2 linked regions of the Struthio camelus genome follow. The protein of the gene in region 1 interacts with the protein of each later gene in a pairwise test. Links are inferred from orthologs where the notes say so. Each region holds a gene or a part of one and is shown on either strand. Other genes may lie near its edges. The genes, in order: ID1 and MYF5.

Region 1 (14,191 bases):
TTAAATTTTGTATTGTGCATTTGCTTTCTCTCATATTAAACCATCTCAAAGGAAGGAATTTGTTCTGGCTGGGCCCAGGGGTGCTGGAATAAGGGAGCGCCAGGAACGGTCCCACTGGCTGCTCTGTGGGCTTCTAGCGTGACTCCCTGCTCTCCTTGCAGCGCAGGCTGGGTCTGCTGCTGCCCCAAGGTCTCCTACCCCTCGAGCGCTGTCCCTGTAGGCTGCACAGCAGCTCTCAGTGCCTTAGTGGAGACCCTGAGTTGCTTATGGTACTTACGGAGCTGCTCTCCCTGTTCCGGTGCCGTGAGGCACTGGGCTGCCCTGGGGTTGGGGTTGGCCCTGCAGCCCCATCCCTCCACGCGCCCCAGGGCCTCGCAGCCCCCTGAGCTGCCTGGGCTCAGCCCCCTCCCCAGGCCCCAGCCTGGAGCGGCTCTGTTCTCCGCATGGGGCTGGCTGTGGCGCTGCTGTTGTCCGGCTGTTTCCAAGTGACCGTCCCCTTCCCCTCCTGCCCCGAGCAGCTGTTTTCTCCCCGTGGCCAGCCTCAGCCAAGGCCCCCCGCGCCTTTCTGGCAGCAGTGAAGATTTAGTGCCGTGGCCGCTGACCCGTTAAACCGCCTCGGCTGTGGGCAGGAGAGCAGCGCCGGGCTCTGGCCCTGCAGCATGAAGTGGGGAAAGAGATCTGGGGGCAGGGGTCCGGCTGGGGCCGAGCCCTGAGCCTGGCTCCAGGGGACCGAGAGGAGTCCTGGCACCTCCACCAGGCCTGGAAACCCCGGAGAGGGGGAAGGCAGAACCTACGCACTTGGGCTGCCCCTGCTCCTCCCTGCGCGTCGTGCTGGGGCCGGGTGCTGCGGGGCCGGGGCAGCCCCAGGGGCCGCTGAGCCCTGCCCGGGGCTGGCCGTCCCCGCCATTCTGCAGCACCGCGCCGTCGCCCCTGCCCGCCCTCTGGGCAGGCGCGCGGAGGAGCCCGCGTCTCTCCACCCGTGCCCGCTGCCAGAATAAATAGAAAGTGTTTGCTGGTTTGGCAGTCCCTCCACAAAAGCCGTATTGAACTATTATTCCCCATGTCGGCTGCGAGCACTAAAAGTGGCGCCTCGCGTTCTGCCATCTAATGACCCTTCGCAGTCTCCTACAGATGTTTTCTATGACTTACAGCTCCTTTTCCAACAGCCCTGTCCGCAAAAACAAGAGAGGCCACTTTAATTCCAATTAAATACCTCCAGCTAAGCAAACAGAGTGCAGCAGGGCCTGGGCACGGCGCGGCCGACAGGCCCGGCCCACGGAGTCGCTGAGTCTAGACTCCAGATGTGCTTCCACCAGCCTCGAGTGTCCCATGGAAAAAGACACGGGCTGCATGGCGGAGCAGCCGGCCGCTGGGCACGGCAGGGCGTCGCGCAGAGCAGACGTGGGGACGTCCCGCGTGGCCCCAGCGCTGCGGTGGGTGGCTGGCGGGGCGCCCCGGCTCCGGCCCCTCTTGCAGCAGGGTGCAGGGATGCTCCGTCGCCGCTCGCTCTGCCCCGAGGCTGCCGGGGAGCCCCACGTTTGCAGCCGCGGTGGGCTCCCGCGGGGCAGGGATGGCGCGGGTGGACGCGGCCGAGCTCCGGCCTGCGGCGCTGCCTCCGGAGAGCCGGAGCGTGGGGTCGCGCGTGGTACCTCAGGCTCTGCCGAGCTTTGCCCCGAGCGCCCCCCTCCCGTGTCCTCGCTCCCCGCTCTGCCGCTGCCCGGGCCGGCCTGCGCTCCCGCAGAGCTCTGGGCCGCTCGTGACAGTGGTGCGTGCGGCGAGAGTGCAGCTGCGAGCCAGGAGCTTCCTGAGGGCCCTTGGCCCTGTTGCGAGGAGCGGAAAGCTCCGGGAGGGCAGAGCGGGGTCACCCGCACCCTGGGCGCCCGGTCCCTGCCCGGCCCGATAAGCGGGGACAGGGCAGGGCGCGGAGGAAGGAAGCGCGGCGGCCCCGGCAGGAGCCGTCAGCGGAGGCTCCCCCGGGCGGCGCTGGGGGCCGCGCGCCTCGGCCGGCTCCGGGCTCGCGCCTCCGCACCTGGGCCGAGCGCGGCGCCTGGCTCCGCTCTGTCTGGGCGGCTGCTGGGCCACCTTCCCCCTCGCCGCGGGGTCCCTCCGGCTGCCGCGGCCGAGGAAGCGTGCCGGCTCCGGCAGGAAGCCTCCGCGGGGCCCGGCTGCCGCAGGGGTGGGGGCTGCTGTGGCCTCGGGGCCGATGGCCTCCTGCCCTGCGCCTCGGGGCGGCGACGTGGGCAGGCAGCCGGGGACCCCCAGGCTCGCGCCCCTCGCGCCCGGGGCTGCACCAGGGCTTTCCCACGGGGGCCCCTTCCCGCGCCGCTGGGCATCTCCCCCGGGGCGCCCGAGCCGTCCCAGCCGCCGGGGCCGGGGCCGCTGGCGGCATCGTGTGCCGTGGGCCGGGCGCGGAGGTCCGCCGTGCCCCCGCGCTGGGCGCTTGGCCCGAGCCGGCGGCCAGGCTGCTGCCCCGGCGGGCGGTTCTGGGGCAGCAGGGAGGGCAACGCGGCAGCCCCGGCGCCTGGGGCAGGGCTCGGGGGATGGCCGAGCGGGCCCGTGCCGTCGCCCCGTCCCCGTCCCCTCCTCTGCCCCGGCCCCGGCGGCTCCGGCTCGGGGGCAGGCGGGCGGCGGGTGCTGGGTGCAGGCCGGCGGCACCCGGCCCGCCTGGCGCGCGGCTGCGAGCGGGGAGAGGAAGCAGCCGCCAGCAGCCCCAGCCCGCGGCTGCCGGCGAGGAGGGGCAGGAAGCTGGAATAAATCCCAGGAAGGGCCGCTCGGCTCCAGCTGGTCTGGGCTGGAGCGGATGGAGCCGGGGACGGGAAGGCAGGAGGAGGGAGGGGAACGCGCAGGGGCTTTCTCAGGCCTCGGCCCTGCTCCAGCTGCGCGGCAGGAGCCGCCGGCCCCGCTCGCATCTGCGGCACCGCTCGCCCGCCGGCCCTGCGGCGCCCGGGGCCGAGGCCGGGGCTTCCCCGGCGCCCCGCTGCGCCCGGCCGGGCCGAGGGCGGCAGGACGAGCCCGAGCCTGGGCCAGAGCCGGGGCAGGGGCCGCGCCGGGCGGCCGGGGCGCGCTGCCCTCCCCGAGCGCCCGGCCTTTGCTGCGGGCGGCTGCCGGGCAACCTCTGCGCCGCGCAAAGCAGCCGCGACGTGCCGGGCCGGGCCGGGCCGGCGGCTCAGCCGCGTGCCAGCGCCATATGGCCGAGCCGGTGTTACCGCGCCGCCCGCCCCGTTCCCAGAATTGACATGGAAATGAAGCTATCCGTCTTGCTGGCCGACGCGGCCGGCCCGGCCGCCTTTCCCGCGGCCAGCGCGCCCGCCCCGGCCTCGCCACCACCTCTCGGATTTTCCCTGCGGCCGGCACGGCGCAGAGGAAGGGCCCTCGGCCGCCGCCGCCCCGGAGCAGCCGGCCCCGGGAGCGGGACGGGGGCCGGAGCAGCCGCCGTGGCCCCTGCGGCTCGGTGCTCCCTGCGCGCGGGCCCGGCCGGAGCGGCGCGCCGGGGCGGCCGCCAGCCCGGGGGCCGGGCTTGACCTTTCGGCCTCGGGGCCCCGAGCTTTGACATCTGGCTAATTCGCGCCGAGCGGCCGGCGGGGGATCTGAGGCGGCCGGAGGCGGCGAGCGGGGCCGGCGGCGGCGGCGCATTGTTGGCGGCGCAGCTGCGGGCGGCGGCGCTGAAAGGCATTCCTGCACACAATGTCCCGCGCGCCTCCGTGCGCGGGGGCCGCCGCCGCCAGATGGGGGCTAATTAGCGGCTTTGATTGCCTCTGTGGGAACCGGCCAGGCACCAGGCTCTCCGCGGGGCCCTGAATGGAGGGGGCGACCCCAGGGCTGTGCCCACCCTGGGAACCGCCACCGCCGGCGCCACCGCGGGCGGGGGGGCGCGGGGACAGAGGGAGGGCGAGGTGAAGGGATGCAGGGACAGATGGGTGCAGGGACAGAGGGATGCAGGGACAGAGGGATGCAGGGAGGGGGGCATAGAGGGCGAGAGAGGTGAAGGGATGCAGGGAGAGAGGGATGCAGGGATGCAGGGACAAGGATGCAAGGACAAAGGGATAGAGGGATGGACGGAGGGGGCATGGAGGGCAGGACAGATGCAGGGATGGAGGGACAGAGGGATGGAGGGATGTGGTCCCCCCAGATGGCCCGGCACAGGCTGAGCCAGAGACCGCAGGGTTTATGCAACCCAGAGGTTATGCACCCCGCGCTGGGGCCCTGCGTGCCCCGTGCCGGAGCGTTGCGCGCCCCGCGCCCTTGCAGCTTGCTCCCGCGCCGCTGCCGCTGCAGTGCCCTGCTGCGGCCGCGGCGAGCCCGGGTGACGAGGGCCCCGGGTGGCGAGCCGCGGGGCAGGGGCGCGCAGGCTGGCACCGCGCTGTCCGGGCGCCCCAGCCCCGCGCCGGCTTTGTTCGCCGCAGAGGCCGTCGCTGCTTCCTGCTGCCGCTAACAAAGCTGCGGCGCAGCCGGCCCCGCGGCCCCACGCGGGCAGGGGCAGGGGAGCTGCTCCCGCTCGCCCGGCACACGCGGGCACGCCACGGGGGGGGGGGGGGGGGAGTGTGTGTGCACGTGTGTGTGTGCGCACCGCTGGATTTGTGCATGTGCGTGAATGTGTGTGCGCGTGCACACGTTTGTGCGTGGCCGTGCACCAGGGCGCCTGGGCGCGCAGGCGTGTGCGCGTGCCTCGGCGTGTGCATCCGGGCGCGTGTACAGGGCACAAGGGCTGCCACTTTGCCTGGAGATTTTTCAGTTGCTTTCGCGCTGTTTCATGCCGTTTGGGGGTGGAGAGGGGCCGGGGGGGGCCTCTGCAGCACGGCTGGGGGGAAGACTGGGGCGGCTGCGCCAGGCGGCCCCGGCTGCCCGCTCGGCGCGCCGACAGCCCTGCGAGCAGCCACGGTGCGCGAGCGGCGTGGAGCCGGCCGGGCGGCAGGCGGGGGCCGGGACCCCGCGGGGGCTGCTGCGCGATGCGCGGCTGGCGAGGCTGCGGTCCAGGGCGCCGCTGCCTCCTGCCCCGGCCCCGTCATTCCTGTCTAGCCGAGACCCTGGATGAACCTCCCTACAGGTGCGAAGATAAGGTAACGATCATTAATGCTAATTAATGCTTGGATCGGAAGCCCTTTAGGGCAGGGACTGGTTTTCTGTTCCGTCTTACGCTGTGCCTTGCACGAGAGGCTGCAGCTGCGCAGATGCTACCTCCTCGCCCGGCCTGGCCTCCTGCCGGCCCCGCACCGCCCGTGCCGCGCGCCGCCGTCGGCCTGCCCCGCACGAGTCGCCTTTGCCGGGGGCTCAGCCCCGGGCACAGCCGCCGCGGCCCCGCGGCTCAGCAGGCGGCACGCGGCGGGGCCTGGGCACCAGCGCCCCACGGGGCCACCCGCCTGGGGCGGCAGAGCTGCGCCCAAGCGCTGGCGGGGCCCCAGCTGCCAGGTGACTCCCACGCTCTGGGGCAAGGAGGCACCCTGCGCCGGGAGGGCAGCGCTGCCCTGCACCTGCAGCCTGCACCGAGCGAGCGTGGCACAGCCCTGGCATGGCACGGCACGGCTGTGGGCACAGCATAGCCCCAGGCGCAGCACAGCCCCAGGGATGGCCATAGGCATGGCTCGGCTGTGGCATGGCACAGCACAGCCATGGGTACGGCACAGCCCCGGGCATGGCACAGCCCTGGGCACGGCCATGGGCACAGCACGGCCATGGGTAGGACACAGCTCCGGGCACGGCACGGCCCTGGGCACGGCCATGGGCACAGTACAGCCATGGGCACGGCACAGCCCCGGGCACGGCACAGCCCTGGGCACGGCCATGGGCACAGCACGGCCATGGGTACGGCACAGCCCCGGGCATGGCACAGCTCTGGGCACAGCCACGGGCACAGCACGGCCATGGGCACGACACAGCCCCGGGCACGGCACAGCCCTGGGCACGGCCATGGGCACAGCACGGCCATGGGTACCGCACAGCTCCGGGCACGGCACGGCCCTGGGCACGGTATGGCGCAGCCATGGCACGGTGCCGCACGGCCCCGGGCACGGCACGGCCACGCAGGACGGCGTAGCGGACCTCCCGCCCCAGCTCCGCGTTTGCAGCCGCTGCACAAAGATGGGTCGGGGGAGCGGGGGCGCCCCCCGGCACCCAGCCGGGCCCGGCACGGCCCCGCGGCGGCTCCCGCTGAACCCGGGGCCGGGAGCGCTGCGGGGGGGCCCGAGCCCCGCCGCCCGCCGCGCCCCGCCCCCGTCGCCATGGGCACCGCCCGCGAGGCGCCGCGCTGACAGCGCGCGGGGTTTTATGAATGGGTGACGTCACGGCCCTGGCGTCTAACGGTCTGAGCCGCCGGGGAGGCGGGGGGGCCGCAAGGGGCGAGCTGGGCTGCGGGGGGCCCGGGAGGGGTGCGGGGGCTGGGGAGTGCAGGGGACCCTGGGGCTGGGGAGAGATATGGGGTACAGGGGCCGGAGTGCAGGGGGCGGGGAATGCAGGGACCTGGGGGCTGCAGTGCATCCGGGGTGCAGGGCCAGGGGTGCAGGGGCTCTCCCGGGGCTGGGGAGAGCCATGGGGTGCAGGGGCCAGAGTGCAGGGGGTGGGGAATGCAGGGACCTGGGGGATGCAGTGGGTCGGGGATGCAGGAGTTGGGGGGTGCAGGGGACCTCGGTGCTGGGGAGAGCCATGGGCTGCAGGGACTGAGTGCAGGGGGCCGTGGGTGCAGGGAGCTGGGGCTGCAGGGGGCCTGGGGGATGTTGGCCCTGGTGGGTGCAGGGCCCCGGGGGCTGGGGAGAGCCATGGGCTGCAGGGGCCGGGGGGGTAGGGATTGGGGAATACAGGGACCTGGGGGATGCAGTGGGTCGGGGGTGCAGGGGACCTCGGTGCTGGGGAGAGCCATGGGCTGCAGAGGGCCCGGGGGCTGCAGCGGGCCTGGGGGGCTGAAGGAGGGCGAGCTGGGCTCTGGGCCCGGGGTGGTGCAGGGGTCCGCGGGCTGGAGGGGCCCAGCTGGAGAGGAGCCCAGGGGGGTCTCAGGGTCCCGGGGGCGGCCGTAGTAGGCTGTAGCCGGGCGTTTGGAGGCACCTCTGCCGCAGCAGCTCTGCTACCAGGGCCGAGCTCCAGGAACGCAGAGTAACTCAGCCCCATGAACGGGGGGCCAGGGCCCGGGGCCCGTGGCGGGGAAAGGTGTCCGCGCAGGCGGTGCGCCCCAGTGCTCCGTGCCCCGGTGGCCCCCGGTGACCCCCGGGCAGCGGCCCGACCTTCCCCCCCCCGCCCCCCCGCCAAGCCTCTACCCGCTCCTCCCCGGGGCAGCGCCACTGTCTCTTTAACACAGTCCCCTTCAGGGCTCATGAATGGGGGGGGGGGCGGGGCAGGCCCCGCCCTGCGGCGCTCCTATTGGCCACAGCCCGGCCCCGCGGCCCCGCCCCCGGCCGCAGCGCTCTATAAGTGGCGCGGCGCGGGGCGGCGGGAGTGCAGCGCTTCGCTCCGCGCCCGCAGGGTCCTGCTGCCGCCGGTCGCTGCCCGCCGCTCCATGAAGGTCGCCAGCGCCGCCCCCTCGCCGCTGCCCGCGGGCGCCGGCGGCGCGCTGAAGGCGGTGCGGCCCGGGGAGGCCGCGCGGTGCGGGCCGGGCCCGGGGGCGGCGACCGCCGCGGCCCCGGGGGCGGCGGAGCAAGCGGCGGCCGCCGCCGCGCTGCTCTACGACATGAAGGGCTGCTACTCGCGGCTGCGGGCGCTGGTGCCCACGCTGCCGCGGCACCGGCGCGTCTCCAAGGTGGAGATCCTGCAGCACGTTATCGACTACATCTGGGACCTGCAGCTGGCGCTGCAGCGGGGGCCGCCCTGCGCCGCCGCCCCCGGCGGGGACCCCCCCGAGGTGAGTGCGGCCCCGGCTCCGCTCCCCTTCCCGGTCGCTTTCACACCCCTCTCGCTCCGGGTGAACCCGCCGGGCCCCCCAGCGCCGCCGCCGTCCTCCCCGGCGGGTTGCACCTCCCTGTGGGCGCCCCTTCCACCTGCGGCAGCTCAGCAGCCCCCAGCCGGGGCCGCTCTCCCCTGCCGCCCTGCTCCCCCGGGGCTCCCGAAGCCAGCACTGACCGGCCCCCTGTCGCCCTTCCCGCAGGCTCCGTGCATGCCCGCTGCGGACCGGATCCTGTGCCGCTGAGACCTGCTCCGGACCTGCCAGGACCCGGCCCGGGCCCGGAGGGGGTGGCAGCCCGCGCCCCCCGCCGTGGGACTGTGCCGAGGGCGGCCCCGCGGCACGTATCCTTCTCAGATTGCTGAGAGCATTCCCTGTATTGTATATTACAATGATGCTGGAGAATATTGTTCTACAATAGTTGGAGTTTTGTTATTAAACAAGCCCTGGTTACGAGGCACGCTTCTCTCTTCTGGCCCTGTCCGCCCACGGAGCGCGAAGGCGGTGGGAGCCCTTCGTGGGCAGGGTGCCCCGTGGGGTGTGGGAGCCCTGGGGTCTGGGAAGCAGCCCAGCTCTGCTGATCCCCTGCCTGGATACTGCCCTGTACCCCCACCCCACCCCGTTCCCCTGTGTCTGTGCCCCTTGGGGCTGCAGATGGGGGGATGCTGCTGGGGTTTCTCCCCTTGGCCCTGTGGGCAGGCACACCCTGCATGTTGGTGGGAGGGGGCCAGGTCTGGGGCTTTGCCCCCCCACCTGGGTGCCTCTGGGGCTGGCCCTGCACCCTGGGCGTCCCTGTGCCCTCCCTGATGAGCCCTGTGGTGCTGGTGCAGCCAGGTGCCAGCCCAGACTGGCTTCCCCAGGGCTGGTGCTGCCCCATGGCGTGTGCCGAGCAGCATGGGCCTGGCCTTGCACAATTTCCCAGCTGGGCCAGTGCAGTGGTTCAGTGACTCGTGCAAAGTCACTGTGAGTCACTGCCTTTTGGCCCAGCTGGGAGGCTTGTGGCTATGGGGGGGGGGCCCAGCTGTGTGGGGCAGCCCCTCGCATACTCCCTGGTGAGAGTGCCCGCAAGGCCTGGGGTGCTGCTCGCTCTGGGAACACTGGTGTTGCCTCTGTGCTTCCCGCTTGCCCTTTTGCAGCCCTGGGGAGGGGAGCAGGAACCCACATCAGCAGTGGGTTGTGCAATCCCGTGACGGCTGCAGGGTGCCTTGGTGGTGGCGACAGCGCTGGCCTCCTGCCCCAGCACCATGCAGGGCTGAGCTCCCTCCCTGGGAGCGGATGTGACCGGTCGGTCCTCTGGGTCCGGAAGGGCAGCTGAGGGCACCCGCTGCCCCGGCCCGGGGCAGGAGGCTGCTCTCGGCTGCAAGAGCCCTGGCCCCGCTGGATGGGGAGGGCAGCTGGTGGGGCAGTCTCTGCCCCCCTGGGCTGCGTCCAGGCCTCGGCTGAGTGGTGTGGATGGATGCATCTCTATTCTCCCCGTGCCCCCTTTGTGCCCAACCCTGGGCTGCCTCCGAGCCCTCTGTGCTGTGGCAGGGAGACGCCGCGGCCAGGCCCGGCGTGCATGGCCTGGAGCGTGTCCCTGCTGGCACGGAAGGGGTGACACAGCCCTTGCTGCAGCTGTGTGCACACCTGCACCTGTGTGCTGTGTTTGCATGCTCACAAGGGTTTGCGCATGGCTGCAAGTGTGTGTGTGCGTGCATGTTCGCAGGTGTCTGTATGTGAGTCAGTCCCTCAGCATCCCCTCCCAGACAGGGCAGCTGGAGGCCAGGTACCTCGGGGAACGGGGACGTCCCTGCCCTGGCCATGAGGCAGCAGCGGGTGAGCTGCGGGGCCACGGGTCCTGCTCTGCGTGGCAGAGCCCAGGCTGGGCCAGAGATGCTTTGCTGTCCTGGGTGACCCTCCCTGTGCTTCTGTCCCCAACCTGCCCAGGCTGGAGCCCTTCCTATGGGGATGGGGAGGCTGGCAGTGCCCCCAGTCTCAGCTCCTGCCCGCTCCTCTAGATTAAAGCAAAAACTGTCTGAATTAGTAACACCAAAATGTGCAGAGCCCCCGGGTCCTGCTGGTGGTCGGTGCTGCCCCTGCTGCGATGCAGCCGCTCCTGGGGGGGGACAAGCAGGACTGAGTACCCTGGTCCCTACTGCGGCCGGGCCTGGGGGGGATGGAGCAGGGGCTACTGCAGACCTGGGGCTCTGCTTGGGTGCTGTTGGAGGGGTGGGATGCTGCCTTCCCCTCTGGAGTCCTGCCATCCCCCCTGCCCCCGGCAGCCCCGGCCCCTGTTGGCCCTGGGCCGGCTGTGGCAGGCGGCAGGAGTGCGGTCCCCGTTCCTGGCCCGCGGGGTCCCTCTCCCGGTGCCTGCTCGGACTGCGCGGCTGCCCGGCCCAGCCAGGATGGGCCTCCAGGGGCTGGGACTGGGCTGGGCTCCAGGCTCCAGTGGCTGGGGTGGGCTCCTGGGGGCCAGGGGCTGGTGGGGCTCCTGAGGGTGGGAAGGGCTCCCAGGGCACCAAAGGACTGGAGGTGGGATGGGGCACCGAGGCATCAGGAGGCTGGTGGGGGCTCCTGGGGGTCATGGGGCACCAGGGGACCGGGGGCTGGCAGGGCTCCTGGGGCTGGGCTGGGTACCGCAGAGGCTGTGCTGGGGCTGCTGCAGCGACCCCCTTCTCATGGGGCCGTGTAGGGGCAGAGCCACCTCGGGCCCCCCCAGCCCCGCCGCCCCGGCCAGGGCTGCGCTGGCACAACGGCTCCAGGCGCTGGCAGCCTCTCCGGGGTGCTGGGCCGGGCTCCGGCTCCCAATGGCCGGCGGCAGGGGAAGGCGAGTGTCGCCTTCGAGGCCCCGCACGATTGCAGCCGCTTCATGTGTTGGTAAAGCCGTGGCGGCTCAGCGAGGTGCGGCGAGCACGTGTTCCTGGCTCCGAGGCCACTGCTCCAGCGGCCGCGGTGCCGCTGCAGGGCTCTGCCCGCTGCCGAAGGACGCGGCAGCCCCGTCCCAACGACCCGGCCGTGGCAGCGAGGGCAGCAGGAGGGTGACCGGGGTCGAGCCCGTGCTAGCTGCAGTAAGAGCCACGCGGCCGGCGGGATGCTCGTGGCCCCACTGGGCGCAGGCAGCCGGTGTCCAGGGCTGTGCTGGGGTGCTGGGGCCCTGCTCGAGGTGCTGGGGCCCTGCTCCATGCCATGGCAGAGGCCACATCCACGCCTTGCTCGCAGGTGCCTTCCTCTCCTCCCCGCTCCAGCCGCTCGTTCGCAGCCGGCCAAGGTGGAAGGTGGCAAACGGAGCTGCTGGAGGAAGTCTCCGTGGTGGTGACGTGTCTGCCGCCCCACGTCGCTGCTCCAGCCCGGCAGCCGCGTGCCAGGATGCCGGATGCGGCCACGGGGGGATCTGCCGGGCAGCCCCAGGGAGCGGCCGGCCCCGGCGGGCACCCGCTCGCCAGCAGGTCCTTGCTGCTGTTGCTGCGACAGGGACTTGACTCATCCCGGAAGGGATTAGGGACAGGGGGAGCTGGGTGACATCCCAGTCCGACCAGCCTGTCCGCCGCCGGGATGGACGTCGTCGCCAGAGCAGGTCCCTGCTGCTCGCTGCCACCAGCAGCCCCGGGGGAGACGGCTGAGGCGGGCACCGCGACGGGACCCGCGTCACCCCCGGCCCGGGGCACCGGGCTCGCCTGCCGCAGTGAGGCTCGCCCGAGCGCCGGGGCGCCCCGGGGGCAGCTCGGGCCCTGGGGGGCCAGGCCGGGGCATGGGGCTGGCCGTGGGGACGCTGCCGGGCACTGTGGGTGTCCCCACGGCCGTGGCTGGTGGCGCCGGGGGTGCTGAGTCCTGCTTCCGAGGGAGCGGCGCGGGCCCCGTCTCCTCGGCGTGGGGCTGGGCCGGCGGGGGGTCCCGGGCGCTGCCGGGGTGCCGGCTCGGGCTGAGCGCGGGTGCCAAGCGCTGGCTGCAGCCGCCCGCCCTGCTGCGGGGGTGGCCCGTGCCACCACGGCAGCCTGTGCCACGTCGGCAGCCCGTGCCAGGACGGCGGCCGGGCTGTCCCCACGCCAGGTGCTGGCAGGCAGCCGGGTCCCCGTTCCCACCGCCCGGGGGGGACGGTTGGACGGTCCCGCACAGGATCCCCCGGGGCCCTTCCCGAAGCAGGAGCCGCCTCTGCTCCCGGCCGCGACCGGCCGGAGCGCGTTCCCGCGGAGCGGCCCCGGGGTGCTGCGGGGCGGCACGGCCCGGGCCAGCGCGCTGCCTCCGCGGCGGAGCGGCTGCCGTCGGGGCGGCCGGAGCCCGGCGGGGACACGCCAGCCGGGGCGCGCGCCCCGCACCCTCCCGCTCGGGCTGCCACAGCGCGGGGGCCAGCGTGCCCTGGCGCCCGCAGCCGCGCCGGGCTCCCTCCCCTCACCGCGGACCGCCAGCCGTGGGCTCGTGGCTGCGATGGGCACCGGCGCTGACCCCGTGTCCTCGTGTCGCCATGGGGCACCTCTTGGGGAGCAGCCTGCCACGTCCCCGGGGCTGAGCCTGGTGGGAGCACCCTGCACCAGCTGGGCTGAGCATGCACCCGCACCTGCACCTGCACCCGCACCTACACCAGCACCCGCACCCGCACCCACACCTGCACCTACATCCACACCTGCACCCGCACCTGCACCTATACCCACACCTGCACCTGCACCCGCACCCGCACCCGCACGCCGGCTCGTGCTCCCCACGGGGCGACAGCGGCACGAAAGCAGAGAAGCAAACCGTGGAGGGCAGCGGCTGGTCCCTCCCCGCCCGGCGCCGCGGCTGCCCCGGCTCCCGGCAGCGCCGCGTGGGACCCCCCGGCGGCTCCGCTCCCAGGGCCGGACAGCGCGGGAACCGGCTTCCCCTCTGAGTCACGCGTTGGGCAAGGGCGGGCTGTGGCCCCGGCACGTGCGGGAAGCGCCGGAGGAAGGCGCCCGCCGGGACGGCGGCGGGACTGTCCCCGCAGCCCCCCTGATGTCACCCGGGGCTCCCCGGCCCCGATATAAGTGGTGGCGGGGCGGGCGGCCGCGGCGGGCGCAGGAGGCGGTGAGGGCGTCGCGGTGCTCAGCACCCTGCTCTGCTCCAGCCGCCAGGCCCCGCCGCGCTCCAGCCATGGCCGGCCTCTCCCTGCTGCTGCTGCTGGCCGCCGGCTCGGCCCTGGCCGCCCCCAACCCCGGCCTCAAGGGCAGGGTGACCCGGCAGGCTCTGGACTACGGTGGGTCTGGCGCCCCGGGAGGGGGCCGCGGCGGGGTGCTGGCGGGGGCCGGCTGCGGGTCCTGCAGCGGCGGCGGCGGCGGCACCCCGCGGCCCCGGCCGTGCCCGACCGCGGCGCTCTGCCCCAGGCCGGCGCGTGGGGCTGGAGAGGCTGCGGGCGCTGCTGCAGAAGGAGCACGTGCTGAACGTGACGGGCTCGTACCGCCTGCCGCTGCTGGGCCAGCTCGCCTTCGCCGTGCCCCGGTAGGAGCCCGCGCCGGCCGGCCGCCCGCCGGGGCCCCCGCGGGTGCTGCGCCGGCCGGCGCCGAGCCCAGGCTCTCCGCCTCGGCAGGGTCCGCGTGCACGAGCTGCAGATCAACGACTCCGCCGTGGACTTCTCGGAGGACGTGGGCGTCAGGCTCACGGTCCGGCGAGCCCAAATCCGGCTGAGCGGCGACTGGGCGGCCGAGCTCTGGCCAGTGTGAGTCCCGGCGCGGCGGGGGGGCCGGCGGCACGGGCGGCCGGGCGCCCCCCGCTCACCGCTGCGCCCCGCAGCCGGGACGGCGGCGTCCTCGAGGTGCAGGCGGGCGACGTGGCCGTGTCGGCGGTGCTGGGGGTGAGCGCGGACGGCGGCGGCCACCCCGCCGTGCGGAGCGCCGGCTGCCACGCCAGCGTCGGCCACCTGCGCCTGGAGTTTCGCCACGGGCAGAGGTAACGGCGCGGCGCCCTCGGCCCCCGGGCACGTGGGGCCCCCCCCGGCGGTGCCCCGGGACCCTTTTGGGGCGCGCCGGGCTGAGGGCACCGCGCTGTCCCCGCAGCTGGCTCTACAACCTCCTGGCGCCGGCGCTGCAAGGACCCCTGCGCCTGGAGCTCGGCCAGCAGGTGAGCGCCGGGCACCGGCCATGGCGGCGGCGGCCCCGTCCCTCCGTGCGCGGCGGCCCCGGGCCCGTCCCCGCTCCGCGGGGCTCGCTGACGCCGGCTCTCCGCTTCCAGCTCTGCCTCGAGCTCCAGCGCGGCGTCGGCAGGCTGCAGGAGGCCCTGAAGGACGTGCGAGGTGGGGGGCGCCGGGGGCCGGGGGGGCTGCGAGGGGCCCGCGGGGGCTGCGCGACGGGGCCGGCGGCCCGGCTGGTCCCGACCTCGTGCCCGCCGCCCCGCAGTGTCCGCCCA
Region 2 (16,280 bases), on another chromosome or scaffold:
ATGTCACTGCACTAATTAAATTCCATCTGGGTTGTTCCTCGGGGTGTTTTTGAGCCTGCCACCCAACTCAAGCAGGCAGAGAGGCCGAGGGGACAGCATGATGATGGACCTTTTTGAAACTGGCTCCTATTTCTTCTACTTGGACGGGGAGAATGGAGCCCTGCAGCAGCTGGAGATGGCAGAGGGCTCCCCCCTGTACCCGGGCAGCGAGGGCACCTTGTCCCCCTGTCAGGACCAAATGCCACCAGAGGCCGGCAGTGACAGCAGCGGAGAGGAGCATGTGCTGGCACCCCCGGGACTACAACCCCCTCACTGCCCCGGCCAGTGTTTGATCTGGGCTTGTAAAACTTGCAAGAGAAAGTCGGCCCCCACGGACAGGAGGAAAGCAGCCACCCTGCGGGAGAGGAGGAGGCTGAAGAAGATCAACGAAGCCTTCGAGGCTCTGAAAAGGCGGACTGTGGCGAACCCCAACCAGAGGCTGCCCAAGGTGGAGATCCTGAGGAGCGCCATCAGCTACATCGAGCGGCTGCAGGACCTCTTGCACAGGCTGGATCAGCAGGAGAAAATGCAGGAGATTGGGGGCGACCCCTTCAGCTTCAGCCCCAAGCAGGGAAATGTAAGCGCTGCCGGCTGGTTCCTCCCGCCGCCCTGACATCCAGCCGCGGCACCGCCGTCCCCTAACCCCCTCCCCTCGTCCTTAACACGGCCCCTGCGCCAGCCCGGGCTGCCGGGCAGACTAGCAGGCACGAAAGGGGCTCCTCGAAGACGGTGCTGCGAGCTGCTCGGCTCTCCAGCGGGCAGCCGCGACCCACTTGTCTAACACATGTCGTCTCCCTGTGTCTCTCCCTGCCCCGCTCCCTCCCCCCCCAACCCGCTGTGTTTACTTCAGATCCCCAGCTCAGACTTCCTGAGCACCTGCAGCTCCGAGTGGCAAAACGTTTCCGATCATTCCCGAGTGCTAGGAGTCAGCCCCAAAGAAGGTAACTCGCACAAACGCCGTCTCCGAGCCCAGCCGGCGCCCGAGCTGGCTAACGGCCGCCGGCGCCCGCCGCCCCCGCCCTCGCGCGCGCCGCGCCGTTACCCCCAACGGTCACAGCCCCTAACGGTCGCGGGCGGCTTCGGTCTCTCACCCTGCGGCGCTCCCGCTCTCCTGCCGGCTCCGCGCACCCGGAGAGGTGTCTAGCGAGGAGGAACCGTTTGCTCCGTAAACTCTTATTTTTCTTATTAAGCAGGGGGCTCCATCGTCGAGTCGTCGGCTTCCAGCAGCCTTCGCTGTCTCTCTTCCATAGTGGACAGTATCTCTTCCGACGAGCCCAAACTACCCAGCGTGGAGGAAGTGGTGGAGAAATAAATCCAGTCGGTCTGGTAGTATATTTAACGGAGAAGGAGCCCTCCCCTCCCCAACCTAAATAATGAATTAAGTTAATATAGTGGAAAGCCCAGGCAGGGGCCTTGTTAAGGTCGAGTCAAGGCACACTTTCCCCAAAGAAAATGGCCCTCACCGACTCGAACCATACAGACTTTTCCCCCTTTTCTTTCCCCTCTTTTTCTTTTTCCTGAGTTTTGTTTTCTCTAAACTTCATTGCATAGACCACCCCTCCTCCCTTTTTTATTTAAGATACTTACTTGTGTAGCGGTGATCCGCTTTGTCTGATTCTCACCGAAAAGTTCATTCCTATCTGAGTGAAGCTGTTGGTTGCATTTCGTGTTAGCCCGTATTTAAAGAGTTCCCGCCTCGTTTCATTTCTGTAAATAATTTTAGTACTGTCTTTTCTTTTGTAAACATGACAAATATATATTTAAATGATGGAATGTGATATTGTATATAAGAACAGACGGATTTCTTGGATTGTAAAATAAAGCTCTTTGTGTTACAGTGTTTCTCCCCCTCCCCGTAATTAAATAATAACCCGATCCTGGAGTTAAAATCTGCCACTGACTTCAGCGAGATCAAGCCCCGAAGATTCAGACCTTATGTAGCCGAGGCACAAAGCTGTGTGACTGGGAGGCTGCACTCAGGACAGATTTTCCTTCGTTTCCTCCTCTGGGGAGTGCCTCTCCTTGCCTAGGACCGCACCCTGCCCTGTTTTTCCCCCAGGAAGCAGGGCAGGCGTTTGGGGAGTGGTGGGGGGGTGCCCGGGAAGGAGCTGTGCACCCGCGGCGCCGGGGCGAGCGCCTGGAGGCGCGCTGCGCTCCGCGGGCCGTTTCCCTGCGGTGCTTGGTGAAACGCGCCTCCGCGCCGCGGACGGCTTTATTATTGCTCCCCTCAAACGTCCGACAACGCCACTTGCTTAGCTCGCCAGGACGCTTCTCCCGCCTTGTCCAGAGCTTTATTTTATCTGATCTGCACATGCTGCAGGGGAAAGGGGAAAGCCCAAGCACAGCCCCAGTCCTTGAGAAGCGGCTCGGCCTCCCGGGTTTTAATTTATCGCCTTCCCTCTGATCTTCTCAGCGCGTCTCACCTTTTCCTTTCGGCGCCGGAGGACTTGAACCCAGGCCCTGTCTGCAGCACAATTTATAGGCCTGCTACCTTAATGGGGCAGCGAAAGGCTCTGACAGGAGCCAGCTCCCTTGGGGGCTGGAGGGCTGTGACTTCTTCCGAGGAAAGGTAACTCCCCTTGACTTCCCTGAGCCTGAGGGAAAAGAGAACGGGGTCCCTCAGGGAGGAAAGAGTTAAGTGGCCGAAAGGGGGGTGGGGTGGGGGGCCCAACATATGAAGCCTTTCACTCAGTGATGTAAAAAAACACAAGGCTCTCTGAGGATGGTGGAGCGGGAGCTACGCACAGTCAGAACTTTACGGCTTGTAACAGATTGTTTATAATCCCAGGAAGGGGCGACCACCAGGAACTAACACACTCTTCGTTACACACACACACACACACACACGGGGGCTCTCCAGACGAGCTGACAAAAGCAAAGGGCTGCTACTTTAAATCTGCCCGTGGGCGCTCTCCTGGTCAACTTTAACCCTTGATTTATTTTTTGTTTTTGTTTTTTGAAGGGTCACAGCCACGTTTCTGGAAGGTCTCACCCTTCTCGGCCGGCACTGGCACGGGTACGTCTGTCGGAAAGGGAAGCTCTTGAAAGAGACCTTCCTTGAGCTGTCTCTCTCGCGGTGCCGTCCTTTCGCCCTTCTCGTGCGCCGTGGCCCGCTTGGTTTTTAAACCGGTTAAGTAATTGTTCTAACTGCTCTCTGCTGGGATATTCTGTTGTAAGGACTAATTGCGGCGACATAGTGTGATGGGCATGTAGCGAGAGGACGTGGAGACAGTTTTTCCCCCTTTTCTGGCTTGAAATAAACCCTTTTCCTTAGGGCACCCGCGGGCTATTCGGAAAGCGGCGCTTCGGGGAACTCCGATTTTTGCATGCAATCTCTGAATTTTGGCGAAAGAGCGAAGCTGTTATCAAGGAGAGGCTTCTGTAATCAAGGGGTTTGATTAGGAATGGAAAATTTCGAATCGGTTTCGTAGCCGATCGCCTTCCTTAATAACTTGTTTCGATTCTCACTCGATTAAGGAGAAGGGCTACCATACAGTTCACTACGTCTCGGGCAAAATCCCACTGAAAGAAAACCCGTAGGATCCACTTTCCACAGCAAGAACTGTGTTGAAGCACCTTCGAAAATACAGTATCACGCAAACACCCCGCCTGCTGTTAGATTTATCCTCATGCGGGCAATTAACCTCAACAAACTGCCCCGTCGTCCCGGTCGGACCCCCACGGCAGCGTCGCCCTCAGCAGCAGAGTAACTTGAGCGATTGTTTGGAGTAAGTTTGACTAACGAAGGTTTTTCATTAAATAAAGAAAATACCTCCCGAAGAGACTCTCCGTGACCCCCGCGGCTGCGGCCGACATGCCGAGCTTCCCAGCGAAGGTCCTCACTGTGTTTGCAGTTAAAATGTTTGTGTTTGATATTAATAACGATAATCTTTACCTAAGCCCAAAGCCAAAGCAAACAGGGCCCTGAAATCACACAATCAAAGGATAATAACTGGGTAAGGACAAGAGGTTTGTGATTTAATCCAGTTTTTTTCCAGAAGGGCCACGAACAAAGTTATCAAACTTTAGATGAATACAAAAACGTTCCCCCCCACACCCCCTTCTCTCTGCAGTGTATTTATCACGAAACAAGCCATCTGGAGCACTACTCCAGAAAAGCCTGTGCCAAAGGCTCGCCTCTCCGCGCCGCCCTGGGGAGCCACCTGCTCGCCGCCGCCGCGAGAGGCGGGAGGTGCGCGGCTGAACCGCCCTCGGGGGCTGCGCTGGCCCCTCTGTGCCCCCGGGAGAAGCAACCGGCGGAGACGGTGTATTTGCGTGGCCACTCGGTTTTGTTACTGCTCTCCTCCGAAACGACGCCGAAACGTCCGTGTTTTAAAGCCCAATTTTTATTTTGCATCTGCGTTTCCCTCTGTAAAACTGTCTGCAAAGCGAAGAGGGAGGGGGGCGGCCGGCCGGCAGCGGGCTCAGCTTATTTTCCGAGCTCGAAGGCAACCCGGACAGGCTTCAACCCAACAGCTATTTCCCGCAGGGAAAAAATACTGCTTGGGTCGTTGCTGGGTTGAGGGACCCGTACGCTTTTTCCAGAGCTTTCACCTTTCTGTGGAAAATGAGCTGGTTTCCAGACGGGGGGAATAGGAGTGGGGGGCAGGGGAGGGAAGAGGTTGAATAATTGAACCATGTGCTCTCTGGGACGTCCCTTCGATAGCAGGAACTAGCAACTTTTCCCAGTCTCAAGGCTGCTAAAAACCCCCTCGTGTCCCTTTGATCTCTCTTGGGAGTCCCAGAATGCCAGCAGAGGCCAATGCCTTCTTCAGCTGTCTTCTATACAAATCCCCCTGGCAGGTACTAATGTGTTTACTTAGGTGTGCACGGTTCCCAGCGCTGGGGGAAACCAAACGTTTTTCTCACACGGCTCCACACGGGCCCGACTGGGAAACAGCCCGAGAGCGAAGCGGGAGCCTCTCGCCGCAGCCTCTGGCCGCCCGCCGGCTGCCGGGCCGTGCCCCGCCGCGGCTCGGGCCCCCGCACGCAGCAGCGCTTGGCTGCAGCGCTCGTCTTGCTTCTTAAATGACAGCCACCCCTAAAAACCGCCCTCGGTGCTGGTCGCTGTTCCGCACTTGGAAATCGCTCTGGCAAAGCCAGGGAGGGGAAATCTCCCGGTCTGGGGGAGCTGCGCATCCCTCACCTTGCTCTTAACAGACGCGAGGTGCAAAGCCGAGGCGCCCCCCGCCCTCGCTTGCTTATTTTTATTTTTTGTTTCCGTGGAGTTTTCTTTGTTAAGAGCGAAACTCACAGGGTTTGAGAAAGGAGTGCAAGCTCTGCAAAGGATCCGCACAGGGGGATTGAGTCCCTTCAGAAATAGCTGCAGCCGAGCGATTGCTGCGGGCGGGGGCGGGGGGGGGGACGACACACGACCATTTGAAGAGGTCCTGCCACGTTCACTATTTCACTCTTCCTCCCTGCTTGTCCACGGGAACCAGCAGTGTCCAGTGCTCAGGCCGTTCTCGCTTTCCGGACTTCAGCCTCCGGAGACCCGAAGTGCCGCACCATCTCCCCCCCCCCCCCGCCCCCGCCCCTTGCAACCAGCAGCCTCATTAGCCAGCCTTGTAGTTTGTGTTTTCTCACCCCTTTCTTTAGTTCCACTCGCCTGCTGCACTTCTGCAAATTTGTTTTGAGATCACTTTACCAGAGGAGCTAGGCTCTCTTAAGGGATACTAATTACAGACCTTTTTTTTTTTTTTCCCTGAGTGACAGGCTGTTCCATCCTTTCTTCCCCCTCCCCCAAATATTCAAGGGAAAGAGAAACAAATTTTCTTAGGTCCTCAAAGACTTTGGGGAAAAGGCACGTTTCTCAACAACCCCAGCCCGTCTGGATTAAGAATTAAAGCTGCGAGCTAAAACTGCACATGCAAGACGAGCAAGAGCAAGGGGACTGGCAATGTGCACCCGAAGATACACAGGGCTTGGAGAGAAACGACTGAACGGTGATGGCACTTTACAGCACTTTAAAGATCAAGTTTTATTTGTGCACAAAGCCGAAATCTGTAAACAGGTCTATTTTAGCCAGCGCAAACGCGGTCAATCAAAAGGTGTGTGGTGCGTGTGTATGTGTGTGCGTGCCCGCACAGCCCGGCGAAGAGTTCAAGTTACTGCCGAGCAGACCCGCTTCCTTTGCCCGGCGGTTTCTGGGGGAAACAATAGGGAACTGCCTTGTTTCAGACGTGGCCCAACTGCACACCAACCTGCACCTCGGAGCGGCGGAAGGCTGGAATTCTGCGCCTTCCCCTTGCTGTAACTTTACTCCTTTATCAACTTTCTGCTTTTCCTACAGTATTCATTTCAAAGGGGGCTCCCCTCGTTTATGGCCCCAAATAAACCGAAGCAGTGCAGATGTAGCCTTCCCAAGCCTTTAGATAATTATGCATCCGCTCTTAGGAAGAAGGGTGTACGTGTGTGCGTGCCTGCAGTTTTCTTTAGGAAAAGTTTTAGCCCTTCGGGCTAAAATCCGCCTCCTTCGGGGCAGGGGCGCTGGGACGGGGACTAGCGGACAGGCCCGGCCCGGGGACCCTTTCCCGGCCAAGGCAGCTCTCCAGTGCGCTGCTCACTTGAAGCTCCATAAGACAACTGGATCGAAACGTCCCCTATATTGCCTCTTCCTTGGGAGAGGCTAATTGAAGACACTTTTTTCCTGGGTACGCAGACCAGGTCCCTAGCGTTTGAATCACTGTTGGGTCACTTGCTCTCGGTTTGAGTTAACCCAGGTAACATAATTTTATTCCCAGGTAGGGAAGGTCGCCTTTGCCCTCTCATAATATTTTCCTCAACTACAAAAGCCACCTGGATGAAACCAAAGGATTCCTGCGCGTTAGCAAATGCCTGTTAAATGGCTTCATTACCACTCTAATGACCCTTGCACAGCTCCGCTGAGCTACTGCTGCGGCTGGATCTCTGCAAAGCTTTTGTCCCTGACTTGTGTAAAGTTACTTAGGGATTGCGGGGTTAGAAATTTTACACTTCCAGGAGGGGTTTGTTGCACTGGCAGCTGGGACGCATCTGTAACGGTACAAGTTTGCCTGCAAGCAGAAAATTAGCAAGCCCAAGGCACTGCTCGACTGTTGTGTCTCTAAGCAGCACCAGGTCACACGAGTAGGAGAAAGAATGGGAAGGGGATTTGCCTAGGACCAAACTCGCACACTTTTCTTTTGTGAGTACCTTTCCGTGTGACCCGAGCCGAGAGCACTAAAACCTGACCTGCGTCCCCACCACCACCACCACCTTGTGACACGTAGCTGTGCATTTCTGTCCTCCAGTCTGTCAATTTAAACGTTTGATGACAAAACTTTAATTGCAAGACAAAGCACTCCCTAAGATAAACGACAAAATACTAGGTCTGAAAAAAGGGGTAAATTGTTTCAGGCTAGAACTGGACAACGAGCTCTGGGGCATAAAGACACCACAGTCGCAGTGCAGGAACTATGGGAGGCTCTATGTTAACACCTTAGCAGGGACAGCCGGTGTCCTCGCATCGCGGCATAGGATGGGAGACGATGACAAACCTACTATGAAAGGAGCGGGAGGAAATGTCAGCGGTTCGTCTGCTTTTATTACCTCCCTTTCTCTTTTCGTACCAAAATTGCCAGCTTTCCGCCTTGGTTTAAACTTCGGACGTGTCGCAACCAGCCTTGCAGAGGTTGTGCGCTAGAAACGTGCCCAGCGCAGCCGGCTGCCCAAAGGAGCGGTGCAGAGCAAATTGTCTCCTGGGGACTGCAGGGGGTTTGCCCAGACGGCCCCCGGCAGGGGATGTGGTGGGATATGCTAATAGAGAGTGGCCGCTGTGGACCAGCCTCCCTTAACATGTATATATAAGGGCCCCCCGCATCAGCCAAAGGACACTTCGTCTCGGGTCGCTAATTACTGAGGAAATTGCCCCGGCGAGCTGCAGAGCGACTCGCCGAGAGCCGGCGGCTGCCCCCGCCTCTGCCCCCCGCCCGCCCGCCGCCGCCGCCGCCGCGATGGAGGTGATGGACAGCTGCCACTTCTCCCCGGCCGAGCTCTTCTATGACAGCTCCTGCCTCTCCTCCCCGGAGGGCGACTTCGCCGAGGATTTCGAGCCGCGGGACCTGCCCGCCTTCGCAGCCCACCCGCCCGCCGAGCCAGCCGGCTCCGAGGAAGAGGAGCACGTCCGAGCTCCCACCGGCCACCACCAGGCCGGCCACTGCCTCATGTGGGCTTGCAAAGCCTGCAAGAGAAAATCCACCACCATGGACCGGCGGAAGGCGGCCACCATGAGGGAGAGGAGGAGGTTGAAGAAAGTGAACCAGGCGTTTGAGACCCTGAAGCGCTGCACCACGGCCAACCCCAACCAAAGACTCCCCAAAGTAGAGATCCTGCGAAACGCCATCAGATACATCGAGAGCCTCCAGGAGCTCTTAAGGGAACAGGTAGAAAACTACTACCACCTGCCAGGACAGAGCTGCTCCGAGCCCACAAGCCCCACTTCCAGCTGCTCGGACGGGATGGTAAGAGAGGGGCTGGGTGGTGGGGCCGCAGGGGGGTCCCCCTGGCCAGGGCCGGAGGGCAGGTCCCAGGGGGCTGCGACGGGCTGAATGCAGCAAGGCCAGAAAAATGGGGATGCGATTGGTTAAAACAGGCCCCTTCCCGGATTTAGCACGTTCACTTGGGCTGCTGGGCGTGCTCGGGGTTACGCGCAGGCCTTGCTAGAGGGCACCCAGCCAGCGCCCCGCGGGCTCCTCCGCCTCCCCTCCAGCTTAGTGCCGAGCAGCAGCGGGGCAGTGCGTGGGGCGGGGGGGGGGGGGGGGGGGGGCCGAGGGCAGAGAGGAGCCCCAGAGAGGGGGACCGGGGAGATAGGACCAGCCCGGCCAAGCCTTGCCGAGGGGCTGTTGTCCCAAGTCTTCTGCGGGCGCCGCGGCTCGCTCCGGGCCGGGCTGCGATGCGCTTTCACTCCGGGGGCGCCCCTCACCGCAGCGGCGCGGCCTCACCGTGCCCCGCTGCCCCAGGGGCGGCCGGACCGGGCCGGGCCAGGCCGGGCAGTGCCGGGCAATGCCCACTCGCTGTGTTGCAGGCTGAATGCAGCAGCCCCGGCTGGTCCGCGAGAGGCAGCAGCTTCGACACGGTCTATTGCTCCGAAATGGCCCACGGTAAGCCCGGACCCCGACCCCCCTCCCCCGGCCCCAACCATCCCCCCCCCAGCACCCCGGCTGCAGCGGCGCTGGGGGCGAAAGGGCGAGCGGCGGCCCCGGGGCGGGCAGCGGCGGAGCCCGCTATAACGCGCCGCCTCCTGCGTGCCCAGGTTACGCGGCGGAGCAGAGCAGCGCCCTGTCCAGCCTGGACTGCCTCTCCAGCATCGTGGACCGCCTCTCCCCGGCCGAGCAGCAGCCCCTCCGCGACGCCGCCTCCCCCTCGCCCAGCGCCGGCCTCGACTCGGGGCCGGGGACGCCCGGGACGCCGCCGCCCCGACGGACCTACCAGGCGTTATGAGGGGCCGAGGGGGGCCGGCAGCCCGCGCCCGCCCCCCGCCGCCCCTGCCCTGCCGCGGGGGCTGCCCCAGCGGCCGCTGCCACCCCCTCGCCGTGGTTTTCTTGCAAACGTTTCTCGGCGCAGCTGGGGAGCAGCAGCGCGGCCGTCGGGGCTGGGGGCAGCGCGCCCCGCCGGGTCCCGGCCCGGGTTCCCCCCAGAGCGGCACCCGCGGGCTTCTCCGGCAACCCCGCTGCAAATAAAACCTGTTGCAACAGAGCTGCTTCGCCTGGTGGTTCTTTAAAAACGGCCCCTGGTTTTGTTTTCGGGAGGGCAGCAAAGCCCGGTTGGTGACCCCCCTCCCCCCCCGGCTCTGGGCGGTGCTGGGGGGAGAGGTGTAACGTCTTGCGGGGCTGCGGCCTGCGAGCTCATTTCTCCCGTCACTAGTGGGTTTTACTCTGAGGTTGCTCATGGAGGAGCAAAAATTTGCGGGGTCAAATTCTCCCTCCCGTTCCTCTGCTGCTGTGGGCGGAGTTTCCTTTGGCGTCTGAAGGAGTAAAAATGATGTCTTGCAGTCGTCTTTTTTTCTTAGCAAAGCCTTTGTTCCTTCCAGTGGGCATGAACGCTGAACAGGTACTTCAAGATTTGGCCCTGAAATTGCATGATGGCTCTCCAGTGTCAGTCAACTGCGTGATCTCGCTCTGATACTCCACAGGGGAATTTTGCTCTCTGTTACTCTCACTGCTCTCACAGAGCCAAATTTAGTAGAGTTAGTAAGAACAAACCGCAAATATCTCTTTCACAATCCACAAGGTACATCTCACAATGTTCAGAAAGTAATATAGATGTATTTGCTCCTAATGCCTTTGGTCCCACCAGTAAGGATGAAAGTTCATGACTCATTTGTTAATGTTTGCAGTCACATGGGTCTAGAAATAGCCAGGTCAAGTCTTCACGAGTTAACAAATATTTCCTTCCAGGCACTATATCTAACTCTTTCTACCACGAAAAATGTCCAGCCCTTTGTTCTTCTCCAGTTGTAATCCAAAACTTTTCTAGCCCCCACTAAAGAGAAAGAGAAGAGAGGGAGAGATGGGTTCCTTCAGGGCATCCAGGAATGTCTTCTATGATAAATACTCCAAGTGGGAAGGGATATACACTTCACTAGCGTGGGATAAGGGCATATTTGCCATTTGTGTTTATGTTGTTAGCAATGGGTGGCCAAGAGGCCTGGAAGCGGTATTTCATCTCTGATAAATCTTTCACTTGAGCGCAGCCCAGCTTAGTCATGTCACCAAAAGTTGCCACCTGACCGCTCTTTGGCAGCGACCCCAAAATGTGGATGCAGAGAGTCTCGCTGGGGGACGGCCCAGCCCTCCCAGCACACCGGCGGGACGGGCTACTCCCCCCAGGAGCCCACAGGAAAGTGACCTGCCTGCTGGGCTCAGCTGTGCTGGGGCAGCTGTACTTTTGACAGAGGGCAAGGCCAACACTTCCTTGCAAATCACCTTATGCCCTTGCTATGTAATCTTGAGGTAAGTGTTTTCCTTCCTGCAGAGTAACCCGGGACAAGCTTTTTCCAGAATAGTTTTTTCTGTGTGTATGCACAGGTCCCAAACAGCCATCAAGTAGAAAAAGTGCTTTGAAACGCCTGGATTCTGCAGAGCTACAAACAAGATATTAGCACATTGCTGTCATTGCAGACGCTTCAGGAGCATGCAAGTGCCTTGACTCAAACAGACTTTCTTGGCTACGGACGATTACTTCCGGAGCCTCCTGTTCATAGAAACCCTTACGCAAAGCCTGGAAGAGCTCTGGGTTTAGTCATGAGCTCGTGCATGGCTACATTGCTGCAGTAATCACTCCTCCCAAACAAAATACTGTCTCAAGGGTACTGTTTACAGCCAGCATCTAATACGACGCAGATCATTTTAAATGATGGTTTAAAATGAGCTAAGTTGGAGAACTTTCTGCATTTCAATCTGCACAGTGCTGACCTTGGCAAGCGACCTCCTGTGAAGTATGCAGAGCAGCACCAGCAAATCACATGCTGGTAATGGACACCTCTCTTTGGCTGGCAGACATTTTAAGAGTTGCAAAAAGGTCAATACTTTTGAGAACTAGCTTGTCAGCGAGTGAGCGAGTAGAAGTATCCAGTCTGTGGGATGTTTGTCCGTAGCCTCCTCAGCCGCTCTAGACTAGATTACAATCCGAGGGCAATTTTTTATGCGTCAAGAAAACCAGCTCTTAATTATAGGACATCTATAAACAAAGCTCCTGCAAAACGAAATTTGCTGTAATCTGTGGCTATCTGAAGTGAAAAAGAGGTGGAAGACTACTTACGGACCCCATCTTTAGCCTGTGGATTGGGAAGAACAAAGCGTAAAATTACTGCTATTTTGGGAGATGCGCTGTTGTGGTCAGCTTCTGCATATTCAGAAATAATTGGAACTGAAAAGAAGGGTTTGGCTTCTAGGCAGATCACATTCACTTAAAGAGGGTTATGCCCCACAAATGTGTAAGAAGATGATGGTCTGGAAAACCTGAGCTCCAGCTCTCTCTAAACTCTTAATAGCTGGCTTAATATTAATGACACGCAGGGATGTTGCACGCTATCAAGTGGGTGAAGCGATGCCTCACAGTGTCAGATCAATGTAACACAGACCACTTTCTCCTTTGCCTGAAGTTTCCTATCTATCACTCGCTGCAGTGAAGAATTGACTCTGTACATTTTTTCACATAAAATTCATATTATATTTCAATTTTACCTCTGAAAAATATACTTTCTTGGCTTATGTTCTGAATGAAGGAAGCAGCTGCCCTTATTTTTCTGTGAAGAGCCTATTTTATATTTCATTGAGAAGCCGAGCAGAAATCTGCAGTGACATAAATTCTTTAGTCTTGGATCAGAAGATCCATCAGCAGTTACAAAACTGACATAGGAACCTAGCAAAAACCTCTTAAATACAACGTCAGGAATATGTCTACTCAAGGAATTAAGAGCCCTAAGGCACAGCAAATCCTCACATGCATTCATGGTGCATTTCAGAGGAAGCTTTCCTCACACAAGATTATGGATAGTTATGTCCAAAAAAGTGATGCTTTCTGGAACTGCCTTGCTAGCATCAGAAAAGATGCAAAGCTGGTCTTTAGGCTGAATGCTAGGAAACTGTGCCTTGAAGGGCCTGTATTTTCATGCCTTAATATACGCTTGCATATTTCTGGAAGATTTTTCCATATGATGCTCACGTTACTTGTGTGTACATGACTGATAATGTGTATGCGTTTTTTTTTTTTTTTACTTAATTTTTCAGCTGTAGTGTTTGTGTGAGAGCATGCCTACTCTCCATCTGACACTTGTTTTTTTTAGGAGTGTCTTCCCTTCTGAGGTGTGTGCCTATATATTTAGGATAATCTGCCGTGCGCATCCCTGTGTGCTACAGTGAGCACTTGCAGTGCTTCTTATAGTTAAGTTTGAAAAACAAATTCTACCCCAATATTTTTAGTCATTTATGTCTTTTTAAATGCTGATCATTTGAGTTCATATATTTCATGCTTGTTTCCAAATAGAAAAAACCCTGCTTGCTCCGCGGTTAGAGTTTTGAGTTGCTTGCGGGAAAACACATATTTTCCCTGGTAGGAAAAAGATCAATCTTCCTCTTCCAGGAGGAACAGTAATTCCTACTGTTTGCCAAAATTTACCTAGGTACATCTCAGATTCGTGGCTGCACTTGGGGGATAATTATCCTCCCAGTTCAACCATGTCGCTATTTCAGTGTCTCAGCCGCTCCAGCTTGGCGGGAGCGGTGAGACTTGGTGGCAGCAGGCAGCTCGTGTCTCCCCGCTCTCCTCTCCCTCCTCCTGCAGCGCCCTCGGCTCGTCCTCCCTTCCTCTCGCTCCTCGGGCCAGATCGGACGGTGGGGTCCCGCGGCGAGGACCTGCCGCTGCCCACGGGCTGCTGGCCAGCCTTCGGCAGCACCGCTGGGGTGGCAGCCTCACAGCTGGCCCCAGCTGGCCCCCAGGGAGCGTGGCTGGCTGGAGATGGGGCCAAGTCCGGCCCCTGTGCCGGGGCAGGGGAGTGAAAGAGAGACCGCAGAGCTGTTTTTCCTGTTTTTTAGTAATGTTTTCCCTCAGATAGTAGCTTAGGCTGCTGACTCTGAGCCGTGGCCTTCTTTTCCTTGCCTCCATGTCACTCTTTTCTGCCCATTCAGTCCAAAAGACATATTCATCCACCAGGCCAGGACTGGACTCAGAGAATTATTCCCATTATTCCCACCCACATGGTGATACATTTCCTTGGTTCAGCAGATACCCTGTTTTCCCACCTCCAGGAGCCTGTGCACCCTGGATGCCCACGGACCTCCTGCCAATCCCACTAAACCACAGAGCCCAGCTACTTTCTCAAAGATCCTTTGGTTTCTGCTCCTCACACCAGCTGCACATAGGGACCATCCAGCCCTGGCATTTGGCTTCCTTTTGCATGTCAGTAACATTTCCTGACTGCCTGATGACCTGCTGGAAGATACTGGTGGCTATGATGCCAAAGGTACTGCTCAGCTGCTCTTGAAGACAGTAATAGTCAGCATGATATGTGAGGGTCAGCCAGCCCAGTGATTGATCAGGAGGGTAGTTCAGTGTCTGCATTAAATCAAGTGCTCGTGAATTTGGTAGTCTCTGAGAGAGACTTCAAAGTTGGAGCAGGAACAGAAGAGGATAAACCCCATCATGCCTGAAAAGTATCAGTGCACATAGGTCTCCCTTGCTGCCTGCTTTCGTTCTTTATTCCTCCAGTCTTTTTCTAATAACATGTACTTCTGAACTGGTTTGATTTTTTTTTCTAAAAATTCCTATAGAATTTATCCCAAGAGAAAAATTTTAAGTCTTACAAAGAAGCCTTAAAAGCTTTGGCTCTGATTTTTATGTTTAAGTACCTAACTCCTACTGATCGCAGTAGGAGTCAGAAGCCCAGGAGGGACTCAGGTACCCAGCAAAAGTCTTTCCGGAGTATAAAAGTCAAGATAAGGTGCCTGTTACACAACCTAGGGAGCCAGAAGATGGATTAAATCAAGCCTATTGCTTTTAATTGTTTGATTGCACACAATTTATTAAACAATAAATATATAACTCCTTCATTAATGGTGAGCAAACAACGACGGTGAATATAACTTTAGTTAAACCTATGTATAGCTCAGTGCAAAGTAGTCATTAGCAAAAGCACCACTGCTCCATCAAAGGGTTCATTTTTTTTAGCTGGAAGTATTTGGATCTACCGAAAGCCTGTTCTGCTCCCCCCATTTCCCTGTTTTACTAAACCATATATGGAAAATGCTGTACTTTTTTTTTGCAAACATAAAAAAGAGGGGATTTGTTTGTTTTACTGTCCACATTGTAGTGCTTTGAAGAAACAGGAAATCAAACAGTAGTTCCAGTTTGAAAATACAATCGCTGCTTTGGAGCACCTTGAAATTGAGCTAATACTGCAGTTCTGCATCCTGATTGTCTGCGCTACTGGAAATGCAGAGGAGGAAATTTCTCCACTAGACACGCTGAAGGTATACAAAAGCATATACCTGAAATCCCTTCCCCACACTTATTACTTCCCTGCAGGCCTGTGGCAACCACCTCTATAGACAGTAGAGCTCACAGCCAAAAGTCTTTCTTAGATGCAACTTTCATCTACTCAGTTTCATCTCAGTAGCTCAAGTAAAGCTGCTTGAGAAAGTAGCTTTAAAAACAACCTTGAGAGGGGGCTGGAGCAGAGTCAGTCAGTTGTCTGGGAAGGGGTGCCTTTGCTCTGGTCCTCGCTCACCTGATTCTTTTTTCACTGGGTAATATCCCCTGGTTATTAGGAACAGACCACCAAGCTGCCTTCTCCCTTGAGCGTGCTCTCGCTCTGGCCCTATGACACCTGCATTTTGTTAAAGCTGTGCTTCAAATAAGCAGCTGGGAAGTCCTTCTGGCCTATCTTTCTCAGGTGTATAGAGCTGCGAGCTCCCAAATTCGCAGGTGCATTGCCTAGGCGCTCAGCTTGTGCCCAGAGGTGAGCACCATCCTGCTGCCTCCTCGGTGCCGGTGGTGCCTCTGCAGCGGAGACTCCAGTAGCCCCTAAGCAGCAAGACTTGGGCTTGAATCCCCTTCAGATACCTGCATGCTTAGATGGGGGTTCTGCCGGCCTCATCCCAGATATTAAGCATCTAACGTCCGACACCTTCGCCTTCCCTGTAAACTCTATGAGCCCGTATACCTGGAGCCAGCACAGTGTGGGGTCTTCCCTGTCAGGCAAAGGGGCAAGGCAGACCCATCCTGCATGGGCACCTGGCTGTGACGGCGTTTCAAGCACGGGGGATGAGACACCTCTGTTAATATGAAGCTGTTTGATTGCTGGAAATGTGGGCTAGTTAACACCCAGTCCTGGGAAAAGTAAGTATCTCATAAATTGGCAATTCCTTTTGGAAGATGCAGCTGGAGACAGGAGAAAGGCTCCTGCAGAAGCCAGGAAGATAAGTGGTGCAAGCTGGGAGGGTAGTTGGCATGTGGCTGCGTATGGGATGGCTCAGGATAATAAGAAATAAAAGAATCGTGACTCTGAGCAACTGGGAGAAAGTTTAATAACTCTGAAATCCCCCATGCCGAGCATGAAGAAGAGAAGAAACCAAGTAAACAAGGGCAGAGACAGCTGCATCCTGCCAGTGCCTGAAATGCACATTTTTCACAGGGTACAAATTTCTCATGTTTATCGCCTGGGTGAAATACAAAAGTGACTGACCTTTGAAATGTGAAACTCGTTATGTCTAAACTTCCTAATA

The links.
Region 2: the proteins of ID1 (region 1) and MYF5 interact in binary tests that used the Homo sapiens proteins (3 or more experiments, as listed by UniProt). The link is inferred for Struthio camelus from reciprocal best matches to the Homo sapiens genes ID1 and MYF5.

Annotation. Positions count from the first base shown.
Region 1 is NC_090959.1:18,476,774-18,490,964, forward strand, and holds ID1 (DNA-binding protein inhibitor ID-1), read left to right. Parts: upstream 1-7,441; 5' UTR 7,442-7,480; coding exon 7,481-7,822; intron 7,823-8,065; coding exon 8,066-8,107; 3' UTR 8,108-8,319; downstream 8,320-14,191. Other genes in the region: bactericidal permeability-increasing protein-like, read left to right, coding at 12,944-13,046, 13,174-13,288, 13,377-13,505, 13,580-13,735, 13,843-13,906, 14,018-14,078, 14,182-14,191. UniProt on the Homo sapiens protein: Transcriptional regulator (lacking a basic DNA binding domain) which negatively regulates the basic helix-loop-helix (bHLH) transcription factors by forming heterodimers and inhibiting their DNA binding and transcriptional activity.
Region 2 is NC_090942.1:45,730,191-45,746,470, forward strand, and holds MYF5 (myogenic factor 5), read left to right. Parts: upstream 1-7,897; 5' UTR 7,898-8,012; coding exon 8,013-8,519; intron 8,520-9,082; coding exon 9,083-9,158; intron 9,159-9,310; coding exon 9,311-9,498; 3' UTR 9,499-9,752; downstream 9,753-16,280. Other genes in the region: MYF6 (myogenic factor 6), read left to right, coding at 98-616, 890-980, 1,230-1,351.